Linked DNA regions of Arabidopsis thaliana. The protein of the gene in region 1 interacts with the protein of each later gene in a pairwise test. Each region holds a gene or a part of one and is shown on either strand. Other genes may lie near its edges.

The links.
Region 2: the proteins of AT4G12450 (region 1) and AT2G19650 interact in a two-hybrid assay, tested with the Arabidopsis thaliana proteins (one large-scale study listed by BioGRID).
Region 3: the proteins of AT4G12450 (region 1) and AT4G01090 interact in a two-hybrid assay, tested with the Arabidopsis thaliana proteins (one large-scale study listed by BioGRID).

The regions. Positions count from the first base shown.
Region 1 is NC_003075.7:7,384,060-7,391,242, reverse strand, and holds AT4G12450 (zinc finger (C2H2 type) family protein), read left to right. Parts: upstream 1-4,311; 5' UTR 4,312-4,568; coding exon 4,569-5,402; 3' UTR 5,403-5,548; downstream 5,549-7,183.
Region 2 is NC_003071.7:8,491,612-8,499,732, reverse strand, and holds AT2G19650 (Cysteine/Histidine-rich C1 domain family protein), read left to right. Parts: upstream 1-3,840; 5' UTR 3,841-4,029; coding exon 4,030-6,078; 3' UTR 6,079-6,264; downstream 6,265-8,121. Other genes in the region: PRMT1A (protein arginine methyltransferase 1A), read left to right, coding at 14-164, 250-455; AT2G19660 (Cysteine/Histidine-rich C1 domain family protein), read left to right, coding at 941-3,013; ASHR2 (ASH1-related protein 2), read right to left, coding at 7,136-8,121.
Region 3 is NC_003075.7:468,049-477,250, reverse strand, and holds AT4G01090 (hypothetical protein (DUF3133)), read left to right. Parts: upstream 1-3,371; 5' UTR 3,372-3,850; intron 3,851-3,963; 5' UTR 3,964-4,002; coding exon 4,003-5,804; intron 5,805-5,891; coding exon 5,892-5,952; intron 5,953-6,045; coding exon 6,046-6,269; intron 6,270-6,359; coding exon 6,360-6,417; 3' UTR 6,418-6,745; downstream 6,746-9,202. Other genes in the region: TBL26 (TRICHOME BIREFRINGENCE-LIKE 26), read left to right, coding at 8,976-9,202.

The DNA.
Region 1 (7,183 bases):
AGTGAGTGAGATGATGGATGATAATCAAAAATGGTGTGCTTGGTGTATATATATGTGACACGTTTCGAATAATTATTACATAAAAAATATTATCAGGATAATAACTAAAATTATTCAAAAGAAAAAATACTTGGAAAATTGTGAAAGATTTAGGAACAATTTCCATTTGCTATTTTTTTTAGACGGATTTCATTGATTGGATGCGTTTGAGTTATATATAGCCGAAAAGGAAAAAATCCTTTCGGAGACAAAGTCGGCGGGTACATAGAAACCCCCAGAGACATGAGGCCAAAAAAGGTGAACAAACAAAACAAGCCTTAGAAGAAAAGATACAAAGATAACAGCTACAGAATTAATAGCTAAAGCCTCCAAAGCTACAACACTGAAAACTCTTCCCAACAAGCCGCCGACTAACACTTCCATAGAACAGTTTGGCGCTGAGGAGAGGCAACTGACAGGAGTCTTGAAAAGAGATTTAATACGAGCTCACACAACCATCTCCACAACAAAAACGAAGACGACGAAACAAGAAGATCAGAACACAGAACCTAACCATCAGAACCGCTTTAGCGCCAATGAACATGAGAAGGCGAAGGATCAAGGAAGACCTTGAGATCCGAGAGGGGAAACGCTAAAAAGGACCACTCATCCTTACACACGGACCTTCGTAGACCCAGCCAAAGCCACCTACAGACTAAAGATTGGTTACGCCACGCAAAGAGAAGGACAAGAGATCGACCCACCACAACGTCCAGAACTCAGCCGGGAAACCAAAAGAGGTTCCAACAGAGAGCTAGTAGATGCCATTATAGGAGGCTAGCATCCGATTGAAGAACCCACAAAACAGAACCTTCCACCAAGCCACGACACCGAAAACCAAGAGGAGGACAGAGAGATAGGCAGAGCTAGGAGTCAAACAAGCCTACCCAAAAGCTGAACCTGAGGCTTCAAACCATAACCAGTCGAAAAACACAGCAAAACACAAACCCTAGAAGTCACTCGAACTCAAAAACGGAAGAAGAATCCGCATACAAAGAGGCCGTTGCTGCAATACTAAAGGGATAAACAGAACTAACTCATGGAAACGAAAAGCCGACTAAATACACGCCCCAAACGAGACAGCACCACCGCAAAGCCAACAAAATCCAAGAACAGAACTCAATAGATCCACATCAGAACCAGCCGGAACATACAACAAATCAAGTCCAATTCTCAAACTAACAAGAACAAGACCGATAGTTGAGACATTAGAACCAGATCGGAAACACAAACCTCCATAACTAGATCGAAGAAACGAGACGGCTCCACCGGGGAATAGATCCGACTACAAAGAGCACCGATCCGCCACCCATCCTCCATGATAGTCATCACATCGGAACCACCACAAAAAAGAGAGATTTGAAGAGGAGACGACGAAACTAGGGTTTGAGAAACTAAAATCAGAACAAAGAATAACTAAGAGACAACAAACTGAAACTACTAAGAACAGGACCGGCGACGGTGCTATGGAAGCCACCAATCACCGGCCAAAACGAGGAGGAAGATGGCCTTGACGGCTAGGGCGAACAAGGAGAGGGGAGAGAGGTCGGGAAGAAAGAAAAAAAAAAATTTGAAAACCATAAAAAATTACTAAATAATTTCCATTTTGATTACTAAATAATTTTCATTTTTTGAAAACCATAAAAAAATTACTAAATAATTTCCATTTTTTGAAAACCATAAAAAAAAAATTGACCAGAAAAAAAAATTTTGAAAACCATAAAAACAATTTCCATTTGCTATATACCATAAAAAAATTACTAAATAATTTGTTTCTATGGTCTATAGGTCACGTATTTTAATTGATCAATTTGATGATGATGCTATATACTATCAAATTTGGAACAAATTCTAGGACTAAAAGGATAAATAATTTGGGCAATAGACTTAGACCAAATTCATATTAGTTCACAACTTCACATCACAAAAAGCAATTTAGACCACTTTTTTTTTTTTTGTAAAATGAACAATTTACATTTTACACCACTTTTACCTAAGTCCTTAATGTGGTGGCCCTTATTCTAGTTTGATTAACAAAGTTGGTTTCAATGATATTTCTAATCCTTTTTAGTTTTTATATGTTGATATTATAGGGTTCTTTTTTTGCGAATTAGATAGTTAAAAACATTAAAAAAATTTAAAAAAATTATAGGCTATACTTTTATTTTAGGGAGAGAAATAAATTGTTAAGTAAATTCGGCAATTTATTTTATTAAGAAATTTTTTAACAAGTTAAACTAAAGAATTTAGCACAAAGTTAAGTGCTAGTTTTAACTTCTCATATTGCTTTAAATCACTCATACACTATGTAAATGTCAGATCTTGTTATCCACCCAACCCACAATATAGACGGATACATGTTATGGGCCGAGAACAGATATCAGGTCTATTTGCTTAAAGACCCATGGGTTTAGGAATGCCTATCGCTGCCCAAGAAAGATCTAGAAGGGGATTAGTATTTGCGCTTCGTAACGGACGAATCACAGAGTAAAGTGAAGAGCGATGATGGCGGAATAAGGATTCGAAACGAACAACATTAAATCGAGACGTGATCGGCGACACGAGAAAAACATTATTTGTGATTACGAATCTCACAATATTAATATAAAAGGAGAGAAATGAAATTGTAAAGGAGGGTCAGATTGTAACGACATTATACATAACTTAATACATTATTCTTCAAATTCGATCTTGTTCGATTAACAAGGCATAGAGACATCGAAACATCCACAAATTTCTAATTGAGGTTTCTGACATCTACATACTAGTTAGTGGTAATCAAACTCTTTTCTATATTACTCACAAATTAAATGAAATGAAAAAATCAATTTTTTACTTTTTTCAATGCATAATTCGATTTGTACCAATGGATAATTTGTTGTTCGATAAATAAGAGTTGTTTTTTTCAGAAAAAAAAAGATAAATAAGTGCGGTTTATGAGATATCATCCTACCTAAAATATGCAAACATTTTTTTTGTTCTTGAAATACGCAATTGTAAAGATCTCTAATCAAGGTTTTAGAGTGAAATAAAAATGTTGAAATTTTTCTATTCTCAATTTTGTTTAATTTGTAGCATTCATGATAAATAAAATCATTTTTATTTTCTATTTTCTTCCATTTATGTTAAAAAAATAGAGTAGATTTTCTTCTACTTTCCATAAGAGTAAAAAAATTATACTCTATTTTGCTATTTTCTCTTGATACTGTATATTCTATTTCTACTTGTTTACTCTCACTCTTTTCTACTATTTTCTCTAAATAATACTAATCAAACTCTATATTTAAGCTATATAATTATACACTAAATAAATATATTTTCTTGAAGGAGTATATTTTTTTAATCCATATATTTATACACTATATATGTTTCCCAGAATATATTTTCTTAAGCCATATATTTATATATTATATATAAATTATCCAATACATACACTATACATATTTTAGATGCAATAACATGAAGCCACTATATATAAAAATACCACGAAAATACATATCTTTTCTCAAAATTAAATTAAAGTTGTCGCTTCATGATATTGCAGCTTCAAATGTGACATTTTTGTCTTATTAAAGCATAAAAAAAAATTAATAGCGACGCATTACCTTTTTCTTCCTTCTCATAGTTCTATATATTTTTATATTAAAATTTATTTAGTTTGTTTCACCAACAAATTGTATGCAATTAGTTCATATAATAATTCAAAAAATAAACTGTAGTTCGTTTTGGTGAATCCGACATTCCAACATCATACAAAGAAAGCTACTATTTAAAAACACATACTATTAAAATTTGATATTCTTTTATAATTATTATGGAACAAATATTTCATTTCAATCATTCAAGTCACAAGGTTCAAAAAAACCAAGAATACAAGGATCATAAAGTTTAAGACAAAACATACAAAAATATTTTACAATGCTAAAAAGGGATAAATAAAATATATCCACAAAATATGTATAAGAGCTTGAAAACAAAAGCTAAAAAGCAATTTGGCGCAAGTAATAACATTATTTGTCCTGAATTCATCATCCAACTATGCATTGGATAGAACAATGGTCATAATCAATAGACCACAAACGATATTCTCGCTGACACAAGAAAAACTAGATCAAGAAATTCATCGGCAAGGAAAAAGATATGTTATAACTAACTTCAACATTACAAGAAGTTAACTAAAATGAGACATGTGTTAATTCAATCATGATTAACAAGGTAAAAGCATTGTACGTGGTTATGATACATAATTAGTTTCTTTTGTTTTTACAGACAAGAAGCTGGAAAATTCACGTTGACATTGGTCAGGACCCAAAATAAAAGGGGTAATATCGTCATTTACTACCATAAAGAAACACCAACCGATAAAACGTCCATTCTAAGACGGCGGGACAATGTTCATACTTCATGGGTACATTACATACATACACCAAAAACTTCAAAGCCCCCACAAATCTCTAAACATATCACAAACTTCAAATTTCTAAAGACACAACCCGGATCCGGTTCCAAATCAAAACACAACCCGAAATATGCCGATCGGGTGGGTCAAATCCTTACATTGCAAATCAAAAGCATTCGACGATGTCTATCATCATCACTCCAACAAAGGTAAACTCTTATTGCCAAGTTACAGCTGCAGAAAAAACGTTAGAGACGTTGTCAATACACAACCCGGAACCGTTAAGAAAAACCCAAAACCGGACCCGAGTTTAAGACGTTTATGCTCTTCTCGTCGACCCGAATTAGACTCCAATTCTCATCACCCGACCCGACGAAGTGTATCAGCTCGAGCTTCCTCGGAATCTGTATTGCCCGTATTGACCGATCTTCCTGATGGTCATCCGTCAAGAAACGTCGTGGAGATTATATTCCAATCTAGTTGGAGCTCCGATGAGTTTCCGGGTCGGGTTGAAATGATTTTTAAAGTTGAAAACGGGTCAAAAGCTGTGACCCGGTTTGAGGAATATAGAGAAGCTGTGAAATCGCGATCGTGTTCGAAAGTTGATTCTGATAGAGTTGACGGCAGCGCGTGTGATGAAAACGCGCGGTGCTCCGCTGATGGGAATGAGATGATGAGGTTTTTTCCGTTGGGTCCGATTCCGGGAGGGATAAACGGCGGCGCGTGGGGTTTTCCCGGAGGGAAAGGAGCGGCGGTTTGTACGTTTTCCGGTAGCGGAGAAGCGCACGCGAGCACTGGCGGCGGAGGAGGGAGGAGAGCGATGTTGATTTGTAGAGTGATTGCGGGTCGGGTTGCGAAGAAAGGTGAATTCGGGTCGGATTCGGTAGCGGGTCGAGCTGGTGAGTTGATTGTCTTTGATGCTCGCGCGGTGTTGCCTTGTTTCTTAATCTTTTTCAGATTGTAAAAAATAATAATTATTATAAAATTTATACTAATTTTGATTTATATATTTTGGTTCCATTTTTTGGTTTGTTGTATCTGCTTCGTATTTTTCAGATTTATATTTAACTTTTCGTTCAAAATATATTTTTGGTTGTTTTTAGGGTCCAATCTATATACTTATGTTTAAGGTTTAGACAATTTGGCAGGATTCGATATTGAATAAAATCATTGATAGGTAGCAAATTAGATAAGAGATAATTAGTGATACCGTTTTTACAACCATTAATTTTATTTATGTATGTGATTTGTAACCACTGAAACGATAAAGTTTTTGCTATGGTAAAGAGTTCCCAGTCTAAAAATAAAGTGCACTTATTCAATGCAAGTATATGAATATATTCCATCTGTTTCATTATATATGATGTTTTAGAGTTTTAATTTTGTTTCATTATATAAAATGTTTACAAGTGTATACTTTATTTAAATAAGAAACAAATTTGATTCAACGTCACTAATTACTATTTTTATGGGAAATATTTTCGTGAAAAATTGTTTGATATATATAACAAATGCAGCACATTTTAAAATTAATTCGTTGACTGCAAAAGAGACAACTCACATGCAGATTACATGCAAATATATAAAAATATACATTTATGTGTGTGCATATATTAATGAGATTTTTTTTTTTGGACAACCTATATACGATTGGTTAAGTTAATGAAAATTAATTATTAAAAATAAAAAAAGTTAATGAAAATTTTGAATTTACATAAGAATATTTGTCATTTTGGTCTTAGTAGAGTTATGTGGAGGAATGAAGATGAGTTTTTAGAACAATGATACATAATGACGAAAATTTATTAAAATACGGTACATTATGATTTTAACCGAATGGTTATGTCAGAACTCAGAATATGTAGAGAGAGTGTAACTGTGGAATGTGATATGGTGAGAAGTCTTTTTTGCATAATATGCACAAGTTCATAGGTTTTAATTTGAAATGACAAATTCTCGCATTTTAAAATTTTGTGCACCAATACATGCATAATGAGTTTTAGTATACCAATAAAATTATCATCATTTTCTTCAATTTAGTAAATAAAATTAAAAGATATGAAAGAGCTGAGCATTTTTCTTTTTTTAAAGTGCTGACCATTTATGAGAAAATATCATTTTAATCTTCGTAACAACTAACAACTAAACAATAATACTTGAAAAAAAAAAAAAATCACTTAATCCTACTTTTTATTTGTTTTATTCGCTTTGTCTAATCAGTCACCATCGTTCTGAGTCATATAAACGTATATTTGAGTACCATACAATGCAACTCAACATTTCTAACAGAAGTTTGTTATGTAGATTAACTTTAATTAGTTGTTGTTGTCTTGATGAGGCCGATTTAGTTTGACTTAAAAAGAGTGATCAGAAAAAGATAATCATGAAAATGCAGATTTGGTGGAAGTCTAACTTAAATTATGATGATGTATAATTACAATACCAAGTGGAAATCCTAATAATAGTTCTTTACATTATGACTTAAATATTTCGTTTATATAAGAATAACATAAAAACAGACAATCTATATATACATTTTTGCAGCCATTTTAGCAAAGAAATCATAGAGTTGGACTTATTTACAACCCAATACCATTAGCATTAAATCTTTTTTCCAAAATAATAAATTTTACTTTAAATTTTTAATTTAAATTGTCAATCGCATTATCAATCAAATTTAATCCAAACAAACTTCACATCAATCCCTTAAAATTAGCATAAACGTTTTTTATTAACAATATTTTA
Region 2 (8,121 bases), on another chromosome or scaffold:
TTTTTGACTAAAGACAATGGATATCTCTAAGATGGCTGCTGGAGATGCTTCCTTCACAGCTCCGTTTAAGCTCGTCGCACAACGAAATGACCATATCCATGCCCTTGTAGCCTACTTCGATGTGTCATTCACTATGTGTCACAAGAAGATGGGTTTCTCAACAGGTTCGACTTCCCTAAACATGAGTGAAATATGTTGATGTTTGTCAATGTTTGGTACTCACATTACAAGTCACAACATGCAATGCAGGACCGAAATCGCGGGCTACGCATTGGAAACAAACTGTGCTGTACCTGGAAGATGTGTTAACCATATGCGAGGGTGAAACAATCACAGGAAGCATGACCATTGCACAAAACAAAAAGAATCCCAGAGACGTCGACATAAAGCTCAGCTATTCTTTGAACGGCCAACATTGCAATATCTCAAGGACCCACTTCTATAAGATGCGCTAAAAGCTCTCAGAGGATGTAAAATCCCCCACAAGTACCTTTCATCATCTTGAGGCTGAGATGGACAAATCTCATTTGTATCTCTACTGTTTCCATTATTGCTGCTTATGTTTCAGAATTAGATATTAACCATCTCTCTCTTTCTCTCTCACTGTGCGTCTCTTCCTCTATGATAGTTTCTTGTTCCTCTCGACCACAATATTCGTTTGGTTCAAGAAACCTAAGCAAATACGACAATAGTGTATATATCACACAACTAATTACAATTTGATTTGACCGCTTACAAACAAGTTCATTCAGATGTAGAGAAGGATCGATAACAAACTTTAAAAATTGGATATAGTCAGGCCTTGGAAGTATCGCCTTGGGTCAGACTTTAGTTGTTTCACATGGCGTGGACGCTGGATCTCAGTGGCAACAATAATCAATATTTCACGTGGTATGGCATTAATTTTGATCATATGCATTATTTGATTATTCATCGTTATATGCCCACTTTGAGAGATCCGATAGAAACAAAAATAGAAAAGAAAAACATCACAAAAGAGATCTGTGGTTTGATTTGGATCACCATGGAAAAAGTAGAGGTACCACCAATTCATAACCATCCGCTGTTACCTTTTACTCGTTTTTCCTACAAGGCTTGTAAAGGGTGTGGGTATGTTGGTTACATATATGGAGGCTACCATTGCAATGAGTTGGGGTGTGAATCTGTGTTTCATAAAGAGTGTGCCGACCCGTTACCAGAAATCAACCACTATTCTCATCCAGACCATCCTCTAAAGCTCCTCATAAATGTCGAACCACTTGCTTCTTGTAGCCAGTGTCCATCTTCGTTTGAAAATGGTTATCTTTGTTCGATTTGTGACTTCAAGTTGGATTTTCGTTGCGCGACGAGGTTGCCTTTGGAATTTATTCTTGAAGAATCCACTGTCCACGAGCATCCGATTCAGCTCTCTGATGGAACCCGTGACGGTTTTGTGCAACTTTGCAAAACATGCAAATGGGGAGTTTTCGATGCTGTTCATTACAAATGTAATAAATGCGATTTACGCTTTCATGTGGAGTGTACCAAACTTTTTCCACAAGCTAGCCACGTTTTACACCCCCAACACCCACTCAAGCTCCTTAGATGTGAAGAAGCACCCGATTACGCCGACAACAAGTGTCTTCTTTGCGGGAATAAGTTTGACGGACGAATTCACCACTGTGATGTTTGTAACTTTACCATATGTGGCGGCTGTATGGAAAACCCACCGCCGCTTAGTGTTGTAAGCCCGACCACCCATGAGCATCAACTTTATCTTCTTTCAAAACCTCTCGGTTTCACTTGCAATGCTTGCGGGACTCAAGCTGATCAAAGCCCTTATTTCTGTCTTCAATGCAACTTCATGATTCATTGGGAGTGTATCGATTTGCCCCGCGTCATAAACATCAACCGCCACGATCATCGCATCTCCTACACTCGTCGTCTTGGACATGGGCAAAATACATGCGGGGTTTGTCGTAAAAAGGTTGATGGCTTCTACGGGGGTTATTCTTGCTCAAAATGTTCTAACTATGTTGTTCACTCGAGATGCGCAACGGACGAGGATGTATGGGACATGATAGAGCTAGAAGGGACACCCGAAGAGCCAGAGGAAGATGCGCCATTCGAGGTGATTGATGATAACACGATCAAACATTTTAGCCATGATCATAACTTAGTAATCAACAAGGATGGGAGGATTCTCCATGAAAGCACACTATGTAAAGCATGTGTCTTCCAGATCTGTTCAGATGCGTTCTACAGTTGCGAGAATTGTGACTTCATTCTCCACCAAAAATGTGCTAACCTGCCTCGGAAGAAACGGCATGTTTGCGACAACCTACCATTTACCCTAGTCACAAATGATACTTCAGACGAAACTTCATGTGATCTTTGTTGGCAAAGTTTCACCGGTTTCAGGTACGAGTGTCTTACTCGTATGGTTACTCTAGATGTACGATGTGGTTCAATTCGAGAACCATTGGTGCACCAAAGCCATCAACATCCCTTATACTTTTCGAAACGTAGTTCTAAGTCTTGTACGGAATGTGGCAAAAACATGGATCTAGATATAGGAAGCTTTAGCTGTGATGAGTGTGACTATAGTTTGGACTTCAAGTGTGCTCTTTTACCGCAGAAAGTAAAGTGGCATAGATACGACGATCATCCTCTTTACTTGTCGTGTGGTGAAAGTAGTGTGGATGGAGAATACTGGTGTGAAGCATGTGAAACAAAAGTGAATTCGAAGAAATGGTTCTATACATGCAATGATTGTGGTGTCATATTGCATATTTCATGCGTTGTGGGAGACTTCTCATATTATATGCCAGGTTCCAAAATAGGATGGGAGGAAGACTTGGTGGTATCCAACACCTCTATGTGTAGACCATTTTGCTATGTGTGTAACTCTCAATGCAAGCTTCCTTCCATTGTTAAGGTCGTTTCCAAAGCCGATGTTGTTTTATACATTTGTTCTTTAAACTGTTATTATAATTTCAACCGCTCTAATAACTACTCTAGTAGTGATTGGTAAGGCATGTTTTAATGAAGAAAAACTTTGTACCATTTAATTCCAAAAGTATGTTTTACAATAGTTTTTTTTTAACCTCAAGCTTATGCGCTTTTTCCACAATTATCAATCTTTTGAATCCAGTCAGCAGCAGTCTCAATGATCTTAGAAACAGAATTTCTTAACAGGATATTTAAAAGAACAAGTTTCTTGACATTAGAGCTGGAACTGGAATCTGGTCTCTGTTTTGTGCTAAAGCAAGAGCAGCTCATGTATACGCAGTATGTCTTTTTAACTTCTTTATTAATCAAAATTTGCTCTGAGTGATTTGAATACATGTGATTTGACAAATGATTCTTCGAATGTTTCAGATGGTATATATATGTTAACTTTATAGTGTTATTCAAATGGGTTATACAATCTGATGGTGGAAATAGAACTTACTTTTGGCTGTATAAAAATTAAAAAACAAAGATTGGCCCAATCCTGGTCTTAAAGACAAAAATACAAATCTTTTGGTCTGAAATTACATAAAAGTTAGTGGATGCAATACAATAATAAAACTTTGGTTTCAGAGACTTGAATGCAGCAAAGTCTACCTCCAAAGCTACTTGGCCAAGGAGTTGTGTGGTTCAGACTTCAAACTGTTTTTTCCACAAAATGTACAGTTCCATCCATTTAAATTCTAAACTATTCTATCCATAAACTTCTATTCCATTTAATGCAAGAAAAAACCTTTTTTGTATTCATTCAATTATTTATGTTTTGGCCGGACACAATAGTTGCAGAGTCAACATATGTGGTCTGAGTTAATTAAATAATGCAAGGATGAAGCCAACACATGTGGTCTCAATCTCAGTAATGAAAAGAATCATTTCTGTGGTGCGAATTCATATTAACTATTTGCAAAGTCTGAAAATGATAAACCACTTGAAAAAAAATCCTGAAAGAAAAGAAAGAGAGAAAAACAAGAAACCAAGTCTGAAACTAGTGCAGAAGAGAAGAGCTTTGTGTTTTGGTGGAAGTAAGAAAACATCACCATGGAAAACTTTCTAGCTTTGTTTAATGAAGGCATGGACGAAGAAGCATCCCGCCTTGAAAAATTGTTACCATTTCATGAGCATCCGTTGATACCTTTTACACGCTTCGAGTTCACCAAGTGTAAAGGATGCTACTCGACCGATGAAGATAATACAAGCTTCATTTCCAAACATCCCGGTTGCAGTTACATTTACGGAGGACACCGATGCAATGAGCCGGGATGTGATGTTGTGTTCCATGAAGAGTGCGCCAAGCCGTTACCAGAAATCGACCACCCTTACCATCCAGTCCATCCTCTCAAGCTGATCCTCCTACATACCAGAGTTTCTAATTGTAGTTTCTGTGGAGAATTTTTCAGTGTCGGTTATCGCTGTAACAAATGTGATTTCCAGTTGGATTTGATTTGCGCGAGGAGACCAGCCCTACTTGTTCTTGCTGAAAACTCCTACCTACACGAGCATCCACTCCAACTCTCCCATGAAGCGCACGAAACACTCAGAGATTGCAAAGGGTGTGGCCATCAACATAATAGCTGGAAACATTTCTACACATGTCATCAATGCGAGTTTTTCATCAGTCTGGATTGTATCGATCATAATAGTCCAGAAGCATACCACACTTCTCACCCCCAACACCCACTCAAGTCACTTAGATATGAAGTCCCTGGTTACGCCGACAAGAAATGTCTTCTTTGCCGCGAGGAGTTTGATGGAATCCATCGCCAGCTTCACCACTGTGGTGTTTGTAATTTTAGCATATGCAGATCATGTATGAAAAACCCACCACCGGTTCTTGTTAAAAGCCCGAGGACCCATGAACATCAACTTCACCTTGTTCCAAGACGCATTGACTTCACTTGCAATGCTTGTGGGACGCTAGGTGACCGTAGCCCTTATTTCTGTCTTCAGTGCAATTTCATGATTCATCGGGAATGTATCGATCTACCTCGCGTCATAAACATCAACCGCCACGACCACCGCATCTCTTACACCCCTCGCCTCGGACATGGAGACGGGAAATGCAGAGTTTGTCGTAAAAATGTGGATGGGTTCTACGGGGCTTATTCTTGCTCCAAATGTTTTGATTATTTTGTTCATTCAAGATGCGCAACCAGAAGGGATGTATGGGACATGATCGAACTGGAAGGGACACCCGAAGAAGAGGAAACTGCGCCATTCAAGGTGATTGATGACAACACGATAGACCATTACGGCCATAAGCATAACTTACGAATTTACCGTGGCTGGAATCTACCAGAAAGTGTAGTTTGTACCGCATGTGTCTTCCAGATTTGTTCAGAACCGTTCTACGCTTGCGCGAGAAAGAGATGCGATTTCATAATCCACGAAAAATGTGCCAAGCTTCCTTTAAAGAAACGTCATGTGTGCCACAACCAGCCACTCGAACTATCCCCAAATTATGGCACCTACTTGTTACATAGGTGTAGTATTTGCCGTCAACTGTTCACCGGTTTCTCCTATGAATCTAAGGAATTAAGGATAGATGTACGGTGCGCTACAGTTACAGAACCATTTGAGCACAAAAGCCATCAACATCCTTTACACTACTCTACAGATCACTCCAAACGTTGTAGTGAGTGTGATGGAGACGGGAAATTGAGTTGCGATGATTGTGAATTTGGTTTGTGCTTCAAGTGTGCTATTTTACCGCAAAAGGTAATGAGGCATAGGTACGACGATCATCCTCTCTTCTTATCTTATGGCGAAATGGGCGTGGCTGGCAAATATTGGTGTGAAGCATGCGAAACAACTGTGAACCCAGAAAAATGGTTCTATACATGCAATGAGTGTGGGATCACATTGCATATTTCCTGCGTTATAGATACTTACGCATATTCCATGCCAGGAGCGTTAACATGGATAGGAACATTTGTATCCAACCACTCTATTTGTAGACCACTTTGCTGCGTGTGCAACTCTCGATGCAAGCTCCCTTTCGTTCGTACGCTTCCCGAGGACGGAGCTGATCTATACTTTTGTTCTTTAGAATGTGAGAAGAAAATTTATCAGGAACGTTTCGAATTTTAAAATTATGTTCTTTACTATGTTTAGAAAACTATTTATTTATAGATGATAATGTTTGCTAGCTTGAATGACTCGCAAATTTGGTAGAATTTGTGAGGAATCTGGGTCTGTTAAATTATTACAAGTCCCTACAATAACATTTGGTTGTGTACTTGTGTTAGTGTAATATATATATATCTCATTGAACCCTAGGGTGCATTAGTGTTTGCCAAATAAAAACCAGAAAAAATATCAACTTATTTATGGATGTAAGATTGGAAAAGGTTGGATCAATCTTGCCAGTCAATCCACTAAATGTTTAAGTTCCTACAAGTCGAAATGTCAATGACAAAAACAGAGACGTGGAAGTGAGAACAGAGCAGAGCAAAACAGAACATAGCAGAGTAAGTCAGTCAGAGCAGGTTGTGTTGTAGAATCACATTAGTTCTCTGATAGAGAAGCCAAAAAACTCAGTTTGTGTTGTTGAACTTGGAACAGAATGAGAACAAGTTAATCACTAAAAAATGTTTGTGTCACCGTCATGTTGCGACCTTAAAACAGAGCCCCCTAATAATTTTTTGTTACACTGGTTCTATTGAATCTATTTTATGGAAAAACTATTACACAATTTGGTTTACCAATACATTGATCCCTATCAAGGAAGCTATGGTTTCAGGCACTGAGCACACTGAAGAGTAATAGAGATTAACAATGCAAACATCATCAAGCCATGTAATTCTGCAGTTTTCAACTTAAAAAGTCAAAAAAATTATGATTTTTCATTCAACCAAAGAAAACTGATGCTCCATTATTACAACAAAACTGTTTCCGTGTAATTCCACAGACCATTACAATTGATTCTTCAGACTATCTAGGAGAAAACAAAAAACCTAGATATGGAATTCTAGAGCTAGAATACTTATCGAATTTTCAAAACTGAGTAAAAAAAAAAAAGTAAACATCAAACAACAAACAACATTGATTAACGATGTGGTCCAAGACAAGTCTCTTGTTGTTTGGGTCTGGCTGCATCAAACAAGCTTGAGATTTTCGGCTGATCAATTCTTTAAGCTAACCTTCCTCATTGATTTACGCCAACTTCATCCTCCTTAACGCTTCCACAAACATTACATTCAAGAACTCTCGAAGCATCATGAGTCTTCGGGGGAAGCGGAGCTAGAGTGCCAAAACAATTCTCCTTCTCACACATATATCTCACAAAAAAGTAAGCATGAGGAAAATTAGATTCATCATCCACACCATTTCCACAAACTTCTTCTTCATTCTCACCTACTGAATCTTCCATCTCTTCTTGTTCATCTTGATCCTCCATCTCTTCCATAATCTCATTCTCATCTTCCTCACCTTCAGACCAACTAAATTCCACTTTGCACCGATCACAGTCACACTTAAAACCGTAATCCTCAAGCAATCTCTTTTGTCTACTCGAATAGTTCATGTTCACAGGGAAGTAGCTTAAACAAACTTCTCTACCTTCAGGAACATCATGAATCATCCTAATGATGATATCAGTATTACCATCAGAAGCAGAGTCAACATAATCGAATCTACAAGCATTAGGAAGACAATCATGATTGAAAAACGAAGTCTTTGGATAAATCCCATAAGCTCGCACAGATCTTTTCTCATTCGAAACAGAGCACGGTTCCATCAGACCAAAGGCGTTAACTTTATCCTTTGACAGTAAAGCCGCCGTGAGATCCGGCGAGATAGACACCGGAAGAGATGGACACACGGAAGATAAAAGAGAATGAAGAAACCCAGCAGCTGCAGAATCACCCGCAGAACAAGAAGGATCTCCATTGCTGCTGCCACTACCTTGGAGAGAGAGCAAAATCTGGAAATCAGAAGGAGAAGCAGCGGCGAGATTGTAAGCAGAGAGGAGGAAACGAGCTTGGACTTGACGATCAGAAGGTTGATCGGAGAATGCAGAGGAGGATGATTGGTGAAGCCGGCGAAGAGATTCGCAGAGCCAAGGAGTATGAGAGGCGAAGCAATTAGGGCTACAAAAGGAGACGAGAGAGCAAGATTGACATTTCTGATGCG
Region 3 (9,202 bases), 6.9 Mb from region 1:
AGAGAGATCAAAGCACTTCTCGAAAGCACAAATCTAAGCCCCTCTTTGTGTTGTGTCCCGGCGGCGATGATAAAAGCCAAAAGACACAACCTACTGATTAAGCCTGAATCATAACGACGCCGTTTTAATGGCACATTTCTGTTGTGAAATATTTGCAAACCAACCCCTTGACTTAATCATGTTTTGTAAAATAGCCCTTTTACTTCGAAATGTGCGAAATTATTCTTCATTTGATTAAAAATCTGCACGTCAGCGGTGAAGTTGAGTGTGTGGCGATTAGTAGCCGCATTTGTGATTTTTTCTTTTTAGTGATATTTAATTATGTTCAACGTCACCTATCTTTTAAGTTCTTAAAAGGTTAAAGATTTAAACAATTATACACTTGATATTATATTTAAGAGGTTAAGGATTTAAAAACAAAAAAAAACAGTTTTAAAATGTTGTACACTCGAATTTCGACACTCTCGTTATTCAATTGTTAAAGAAGTTAGTGTAGAAAAAAAAGTTAAGAATTTTAAGTCAAGGGGTGTATGCAGAAACAATTGTTAGTTTAAGGATTTGTTTGCAAAGTTTTCTTATGATGTGGTACCATCAGGTGTTATCTAACGCGCGTTACTAAGTGCGTAAGATATACTCTCTCCATATATGTACGCCACGTGATAATGGTACAACTGTGTTAGTGCTTGATCCCGTTTGGTCAGTATGATCCATTTGTTTGGTTACTTCTTCCAGTCTTTGTAATACTAGTAAGTTTTCGTAACCACATCAATTTTGGGATCATAAAAAAAGTTGAAATACTTTCACACTACATACTTCACAGACTGTAAATTAGTTCTATCTATATTTTTATCTAAATATTGTTGGGCTTAATATGGAAGGAACGACAAAAAGATAAAATAATTTTCCCAAAAAAATTATTTTTGTTAAGTATAGCGGAGAGAGATTTTAACTTTTTCCAAGATGATATCGGGTTTGAATGATAACCACAATAATAATAGTATAGCTTTGTATAACTTTGAAAGTTACCAATCACAAAAACTTTATCAAAAGTGTTATTAAAAGTTTTATACTCACCTTTTTTTAATAATTTCTTTGTATAGTTCCTTCTAACAGCTTTGCACTATTCCGATAAATCTAACAGCTAAAAATCTTGTATACCTTTTGGTTACCAATCAGACCCATCATATAATGTATAAGAAAATTGCAACTATGCCATCAATCTTGTTTCTTGTCTTTTCATGTTTTGGAGGGTCCATACTCAAAACAACAAATCAATATCGAGTTTTTATGTTTAGTTATATACACTATCATTACTTTCAAAACAAAGAAAAAAGCCTTTAACAAAAAAACAAGTGGGTGTGTATAAAAGTAGATGTCGGACCACAGTTGATAAGAATCAAATACCGAAAGCCTTATGGCTATTATTCTATGTGATAATTATGTAGATCACACATAAAAAAAGTTCACCAGCTCATTACTCATACTCACTTACATGATCAAGTTCAAATTATTAAAATGTAAAAGTCTTCATGTAAACAAATCGGGCCGTTCTAAGCCCATATAATGAAGCCTGTTATGCACCTAAACAAATAGGGCCCTTTTATCAATTAGGGAAAGAATTACGGGCCTAAACAGCTCAGAAGTTCTGTCAATTAAACTCTGTGTTTCCTTAGTCTAATAACTAACCGATAAAATAGGTAGTAAAAAAGTCAACGATAGTTATCCCAAAAATGCAATGTTAATATTTTTGTCAAATCTGATTGGTGTTGGAAAGTGGACTATCTATAAATCCATCTTTAAATGATAGACAGAGACACAGAGTAGAAGACTTTACAGCTGTACGTAGCTTTTTGTATAAACCACAAAAATAGTCAGAAGGCGACCTACACTATGTGATCATATAACACTCCCCATATATCTTTCAAGTCTTCGTTTACGAGGTTAATATTTTTCAACGTTTAGGATCCAGGTTTCTTTTAGATTCAAGTTGTGAATTAGAAAACAAACAAAAGAAGAAGTTTTGAGAGCACGTCTTCTAACATGGAAGCATTAAACTTGACGTATTTTTATGGACTATATTAATCGATATGCTGGGAGGATGATGAAAAAATAAAGAATTTATATATAAATATTAGTTATTTAGGTAAGTATGAAAGATAAATAATATATAAACCAAAAAATTTTTTTTAAAAAAATTAATTACAAAAATGCTATTGAATAAAAATAATTGTAATATTCGGATGATAAGTATATAATTATTTGTTTAATGTTTTAAAAACTATGATATCGCGATAAGTTTATAAATTATTTGTTAAAACATATTTATCGATTTAAAATTGTAAATCAGAATTTTTTATTTATGTATATTCAGCACAATAAAAGGAAATTAGACTTTTTTATATAATTAACATGATAATAATTATAACTACATGATATATAGAATGATAACATGCTAATATATTATATAACAGAATAATATTTATATGAAAACGTTAAGATATTCGATACATGAATAATGTTTACTGTAACGGATAATTTATACATAATATTTACTAATAATTGTTAACGAGGTTAACCTGATGATAACAATGAAAATATTTAGTAACAAAACAATATATGAGACTTTAATTAAAAAAAAGAAAAATACAGAAGAATAATAAAGTAACTTCATTAGTTCTTTTACTGTTGAAATAGTCCACAATTCCTACACCTAATTTTTCAGTCTTCTGAGCATATAAAGTGATATTTTCCTATTTTTATTTACTTTTTAATTGTATTATAATAATATTTGGGTATTTTTGGTTATTATAATAATATCTGAAAATATTATTGATATTTTTGGTTATTTTTATATTTTTACTAAAACAACCGAACCGATCCGAATCCGAACCAAAATCGAACCAAGTTTTTAGAATATCTGAATGGTTCTCAACCTCTTCATATCCGAATAGATTTGATATCCAAAAAAGAACCAAACAGATAGGGATACCCGAATGACCAGACCTAGTATTATTGATATAAAAAAGGTTGCTCAATGTATAATTTCATTTGACTAGCTGGTCTGTTTTCGTACAAACACACTCACAAAAGTACGAAAATAGGAAGTCGTCTTAGTTTTAGAAAATAACTATTGCTGCTTATTGGCATATATTGAAAAATCAAATACTACTAGTAATCGTAAGTTCTAAATTTGAATGTTTTTTTCCCGAGTAATTGAATTGTTCTTAGTAATTAAGTTCACAAATTTGGAAAATTGCGATATCTGAGAACGTATTAATTTACCTGTCGGTAAACAGTCACACTCATGTTTCTAGATTTCGTATATTTTAGTAATAATTTGGTTAGTCTCCTTATCTGCGAGTCAACGAGACCCGGTCCGCTCAACCGTACTACAGTCTAAATTCTAGTTTCACGCGCTTACTTACATTACATACGCGCTCATCTCTTCTTTACTCAAAAGTTTTAAAAAACGAATATCAAATCAACGCTAACAAAGTTTGATTTTTTGCTTCCATCTTCTTCCCCTCCTTAAGTTTTCAAATCTATTCATCAAATTTTCTTTTGTCTTTCCCTTAAGATTCCCGGGAAAGCCAAGGAAAAACGCTAGAAGAAAATTAACATAATAATGTTAATTGTTGCTTAAACCTTCCAGCTCAAGTTTGGTAGTAAGTAAGCAGACATTTAATCCCCCAAGAAGCAATTGAAGAAGACTTTTAATTCTTCTGAATTTTCTTTCCAAAAACCCCTTTTTAGAAAATTGGTTGCATCATAGAGATTGGTTCATTTATTCCCACCGGAGAAGATCATCAAATTCGTCTTCTCACCTATATCGCCGACGACATTCTTCACGGTTCGTTTGATTTCTACCTGTTGGTTCTTCGTTTTATCTGAATTCAATCGGAGATATATGTTTTTGAGTTCGAATTTGATAAAAAATCGAAACTTTTTTGATTTGAATCGCAGTTGGAAAAAAACAAAGCAAAACCCTAGAAATAGTGGCTGATGAGGTCGCGAGGCGATGTCTCTGAAGCAGAAGGTACGAGATCAGATGCTGGTTCTTCAAGAAGCGAAGAAGAAACGAGTCTGAAGGAGAAACACTCAAATTCGCGAGCTGGGTCTCAAAGATCTGGAAAAAGCTTGAGAAATGACGAGCCTAATTACGGATCAGATTCTTCATCTAAGAACACAAGCAGCAGCAACAACCCTATTGAGTATACAGAGCATGAACGAGCTGAGCTTTTAAGAAGGTTAGATTCTATCAAAGATCATCTACTTCGCGGTGGTGGTGGTGGTAATAATGTAGTTGATAAACCTAAAGAACCAGATCAGAATCAGCCTTTCCTTAGACCAGTTCATCTTCATGGTCATGCTAATCATAATCCTGGTCCTTCTTATTACCATCAGTATCCAGAACCTATTCAATACCCTGGACCGGTTCATGGAATGTATCCTCAAGCTTATCAAGATCCTTATGGGTACCAAAGAAGACCACCTCCAGTTCCTAATCCAAACTGGTATCCTCCTGGTCATTACCCTAATCAGATGGCTCGTCAGTATCCTGGAGGTCAATATGTTGAACTTGGTCCTGATATAGTTGAGCCACATTCTTACTATCCAGCTACTCCTGGTAGGTACGGTGACCTGCCTCCGTATAGCCCGGTTTCGTCTCACCATCGTGAAGAGAAACTCGCTACACAGTACAGTGATATGCCTCCGTATAGCCCGGTTTCGTCTCACCATCGTGGCGAGAAACTCACGACACCGTATAGTCCACGTGTTAATAACGGTTCGAGTTTTCCTTCTTCGATGGGCACTCCAGGTCCTCGAGGTGGTTATGCAAGGTGGCCGAGTGAACATGATTCTGAAATGGGCGGTGCTTTTGCTCGTGGGTATGTTAAGAAAGCTGTATCGGATACTGGTGTTCGACGTTGTCATCCTCTTGCTGGTGGTGCTCCTTTTATAGCTTGTCATAGTTGCTTTGAGCTGCTTTACTTGCCTAAGAAGAAGCTTTTGTCTCAGGAAAGGTTACATAAGCTGCAGTGCGGTGCTTGTTCTGAAGTTATTAGTTTCACAATCGTTGATAGGAAACTCGTTTTCTCTTCTGGTAATGAGGAAACAAAACCGGTCTCTCTAGAGGTTGAAGATAGAAACACAACAAACACAGTAGTGATAGAGGAGGAAGTCTCTTCTGTTGATTTCAACAGCTCAGGTAGAGATATTCCACGTAAGGATGAAGAAGAACCAGTGCAAGAACTGAGAAATCATCAGGATACTATTACTACGCAAAGCGTCCGCTCTGAATCTCAACACTCAGATGATGAAGAAAGATCGAGCAATTCTAGTGAACAACAACAGAAGGAGGTCAAATCTGTTCGTCGGCGAGGTAAAGGGTCAAAAGCACCTGAACCCGCTGCTCCTGATAATGCCAGTCTCCTTGAACTTTTTGAGTATTCTAATGTAAACAGAGCTGCACTCGCTTATGGAATGGCGCAGTTAGGTTATGAAAAGCCAGATAAGCAAAAGTCTTTCATGACACAGGACTCGCTGAAACCAGAATCAGTAGCTACAGAGACAGAGGTTTCTTACAATGGATACTCTAACACCGAGATCTCAGAAGATTCAAGGTACTCAAACAGAAAGGGTAGTGAGTACGGTTCGACAGAGATCACAACGAGGTCCTCTACTGATCAAAACGAAGACCAGATGAAGTCATTAGAGGTTTGGGTTAATGGACATCTTATACCAGAAGATCTTGTTAGCAGTGCTGAGAAATTAGCTGGACCAATCCAAGCTGGAAAGTATTGGTACTTCCATGAACTTCAGCATCCACTGTTTCTCTCTTGTTTTTGTTTTTCCCTTTACTCAGTTTCTGATACATGTCTCTGATTCAGGTATGATTACCGAGCTGGGTTCTGGGGAGTGATGGGCAAACCGTGTCTCGGTATAATACCTGTAAGTACCTTCACATTGTTCTCTCAAGTTGATTATTGGAATGGTGTCATCAAATTGATGAAGAAATGGTTGACTTACTTGTTGTTGTTGCAGCCATTTATTGAAGAGTTTAGCCATCCAATGCTGGATAACTGCGCTGCAGGAAACACAGACGTGTTTGTGAATGGAAGAGAGCTTCACAAGAGAGATTTCGAGTTACTTGTGGGTCGTGGTCTGCCTAGAGACAAGAACCGTTCTTACATTGTTGATATATCAGGAAGAATCCTTGATCAAGATTCAGGAGAAGAACTTCACAGCCTTGGCAAATTAGCCCCAACGTAAGCAGATTCACACAAATGATTTTTATTCTTTTGAGATTTTGAGATCACCTAAGATTCTAAAGTTTTAGTGTGTTAAACTTGAAACAGGATTGAGAAAGTGAAGCATGGATTTGGTATGAGAGTTCCAAGATCATTAGCTTCATGAAAACTCCCCCTAGTAACAACTACACAACCAAAATATGATTCTGCTTCTTGTTTCCATCTTCATATTATTTATTTGTTAAACACAACTGTAAAGTGTTTTTTACATCTTGATTTTGATTTTTGGTATTCTTTTTAAAATATCTTTGGGGAAATGTCTGTATGTTTTTTATTGCGACCAGAACCGGTTTAGGGGTTATAGACTGTATACAAACCGGGTTCTCTCGGTACAAGGTTTGTGCTTTGTATTATTTCCATTTTTTTATGGAATGATATTAGTTTGCTCTTAATGACTTTTTTTTTTATCTCTTTTATTGCTCTTTTGTAAGTTGTAACAGAAGCTTCATCGATAACATGGTTTACTCCTCCTAATTCCTTATTATCTCTGGTTTAACTAAATCGTTTATTTAAACCGGTTTTGGTTTGTAGGTTTCTTTCATGTCAGCAACAATATATGTAGGTCATTCGACCATACTCAACAATTCAATTAAACAATGTTCTCCTAGCTGATCTTTCTTTCTTCATGATTAGCTTCTAGGCTTGATTTGCCCTTTCCTCGAGTTCTAGGTGAATTATGGATTGGGATTATCTATCTATCGGTTAGTTATCCGGTTTCATCTTTCTTTCCACTAAAATGTTCATATTGTCTGCTAATTCCTCTCTTGGCTGATGGACTAGTTTTTGCACGTTTCTGAAGTGGGTCCTTCCTAAAATACAAGACAACAGATTATAACTTACTCATGGGCCCAATATCAATATCAATATCAAACAAGAAAGAGAATCTGTTCTTAACAGGCCTCGTGGTCCGTTCGTTTAGTTTTCATGTTTCAATATTTCTTAGAAAAATACAAAATTAGAGTAAGAACAAAAAGATACTAACTAGTAGCGAGCATGAGAAAAACGAGTAAGCAGAAGTTGTCCACTAATAATAAAATTGTGAGGAATCAAGAAATTCTCAATACAAAAAAATTTTAGCAATGAAGAAATAAAATAAAATATTATTAGCAATAATTGGAGTCACTAGAATGTTTCATATCTCTTTATATACTAACACTAGTGTTAGTTCATTCACGCAAATGTTAAAAACCAATTCTACCATTGTTAAACTTATACCAAATATTTAAACTAGTTACCTGCATCATTCTAATAACTAATAAGTCTCATGAATTCACAAACATAGCAATGTTTTGAATAACCCAATATATCATCAAAAAGTGTGGTGCTTCCGTGTTTGCTAAGTTCCAAGATTCAAGAGAAAGGTTGATATTGTTGTAACGAAAGGCTGTGGAGATACAAGTATACCACCTAAGTTGAGATAAAAGGTGTGAGGACCAAAAGCAGGGCATGTGCTTCTTCACATAAATTAAAAGAAAAAAACTCAAGTTATTACTAATATGTGATTAATAAACACAAGGACAATGAGACCATCTGGGCTGGTCCAACATATTTTTGGATTCCTCAAGCAAAGTTGAAAAAAAAAAACTTTTCTGAATTTTTTAATCAGAATTTCACTATCAAAAGTCATAATTGTAAAAAACAAATCCTGAAATATTCTTTATTCCATTTCCAATATATATTGCTGTCACAAAGAAATCTACAAAAATATTTGTTATAACTTAAAAGAATGCCCAACAATTTAGCCTATAATCATATATGCTTCTTGGACAAAAAAAAATCTTGGAACAACAATGCTAATTAAATTTTTCTTTTTTTTTTTCTTACACAGAGCTAATTAACTTTTTCTTTTTTGTTGACTGTGGTTAACATAATTCCAGGGTGATGGTATATTCAATGTCGCAGTATATTCAATGTTGCATGGTGTGTGAATAGTTGTACTATAATATTCCCTCTTTTCATTTTTATTTGATATTTTAGGAAAAATACACATATTAAAAAAAATATATTAAAATTGATATTAAATATATTATTTTTTTGTGTTTTACAATTTTTTATTATTTTAAACCAATGATTGAACTATTAAAATTTACAATTTATTAATAATAACTAATAAATATTGAATAGAAAATTTACAAAATCAATCTTTTTAAAACAAATATTTTTCCAAAAAAATCAAATAAAAAGGAACAGAAAAAATATAATATGACAGTTCGAAAGTATAATTCAAATCTGTAATTGTTACGGTTTTGTTATTCTTCTTTCTTGTCGTTGTTTGTGACAAAATTGTAATCAAATATATTGTATATCTCACAATGGTGTGACTTTTTAATACCATATTTTTTTGTAACGATTGTATCACTACAATTTACTACTTGTCACAAATTCATGACAATAGTTTTTACTGTTACAAATATGTTTCTATTGAGACAAAATATTTTGTATCAATAAAATTACTTTTTCTGCAGTAATTAATAAATAGACTGTCTGAAATTCACAAAATTATTATTCCTGCATTTAATAAAAGTAAAAAAGGGTAACAAAACATCACTTTCATGGTCACAAAGATCCTAAAAGTTAATCTCAAACCTAACCATCTCATTCTCACGAGTCCAACTATAAAATCATTGAATAGCTTCCACCAAATTCACTGTGCTCTCTTCTTCAATGGAACAACAATTAACCTTAGTATTGCTTGATAGCCCAAAAGGCGCCAAATATGTAGAAACCTTTGAAGAAGCCGCTTCTTCTTCTTCTTCTTCTTCTTCTTCTTCTGTTCCCTCCTGCACTGATCACCGCCATCGAACCTTCGTCAAATTCTTCCTTTACTTCTCTCTCGTCGCTCTTGCTTACTATTTCATCATCTCCAGTCTCGCCGTCTCTCCAATTCCCCC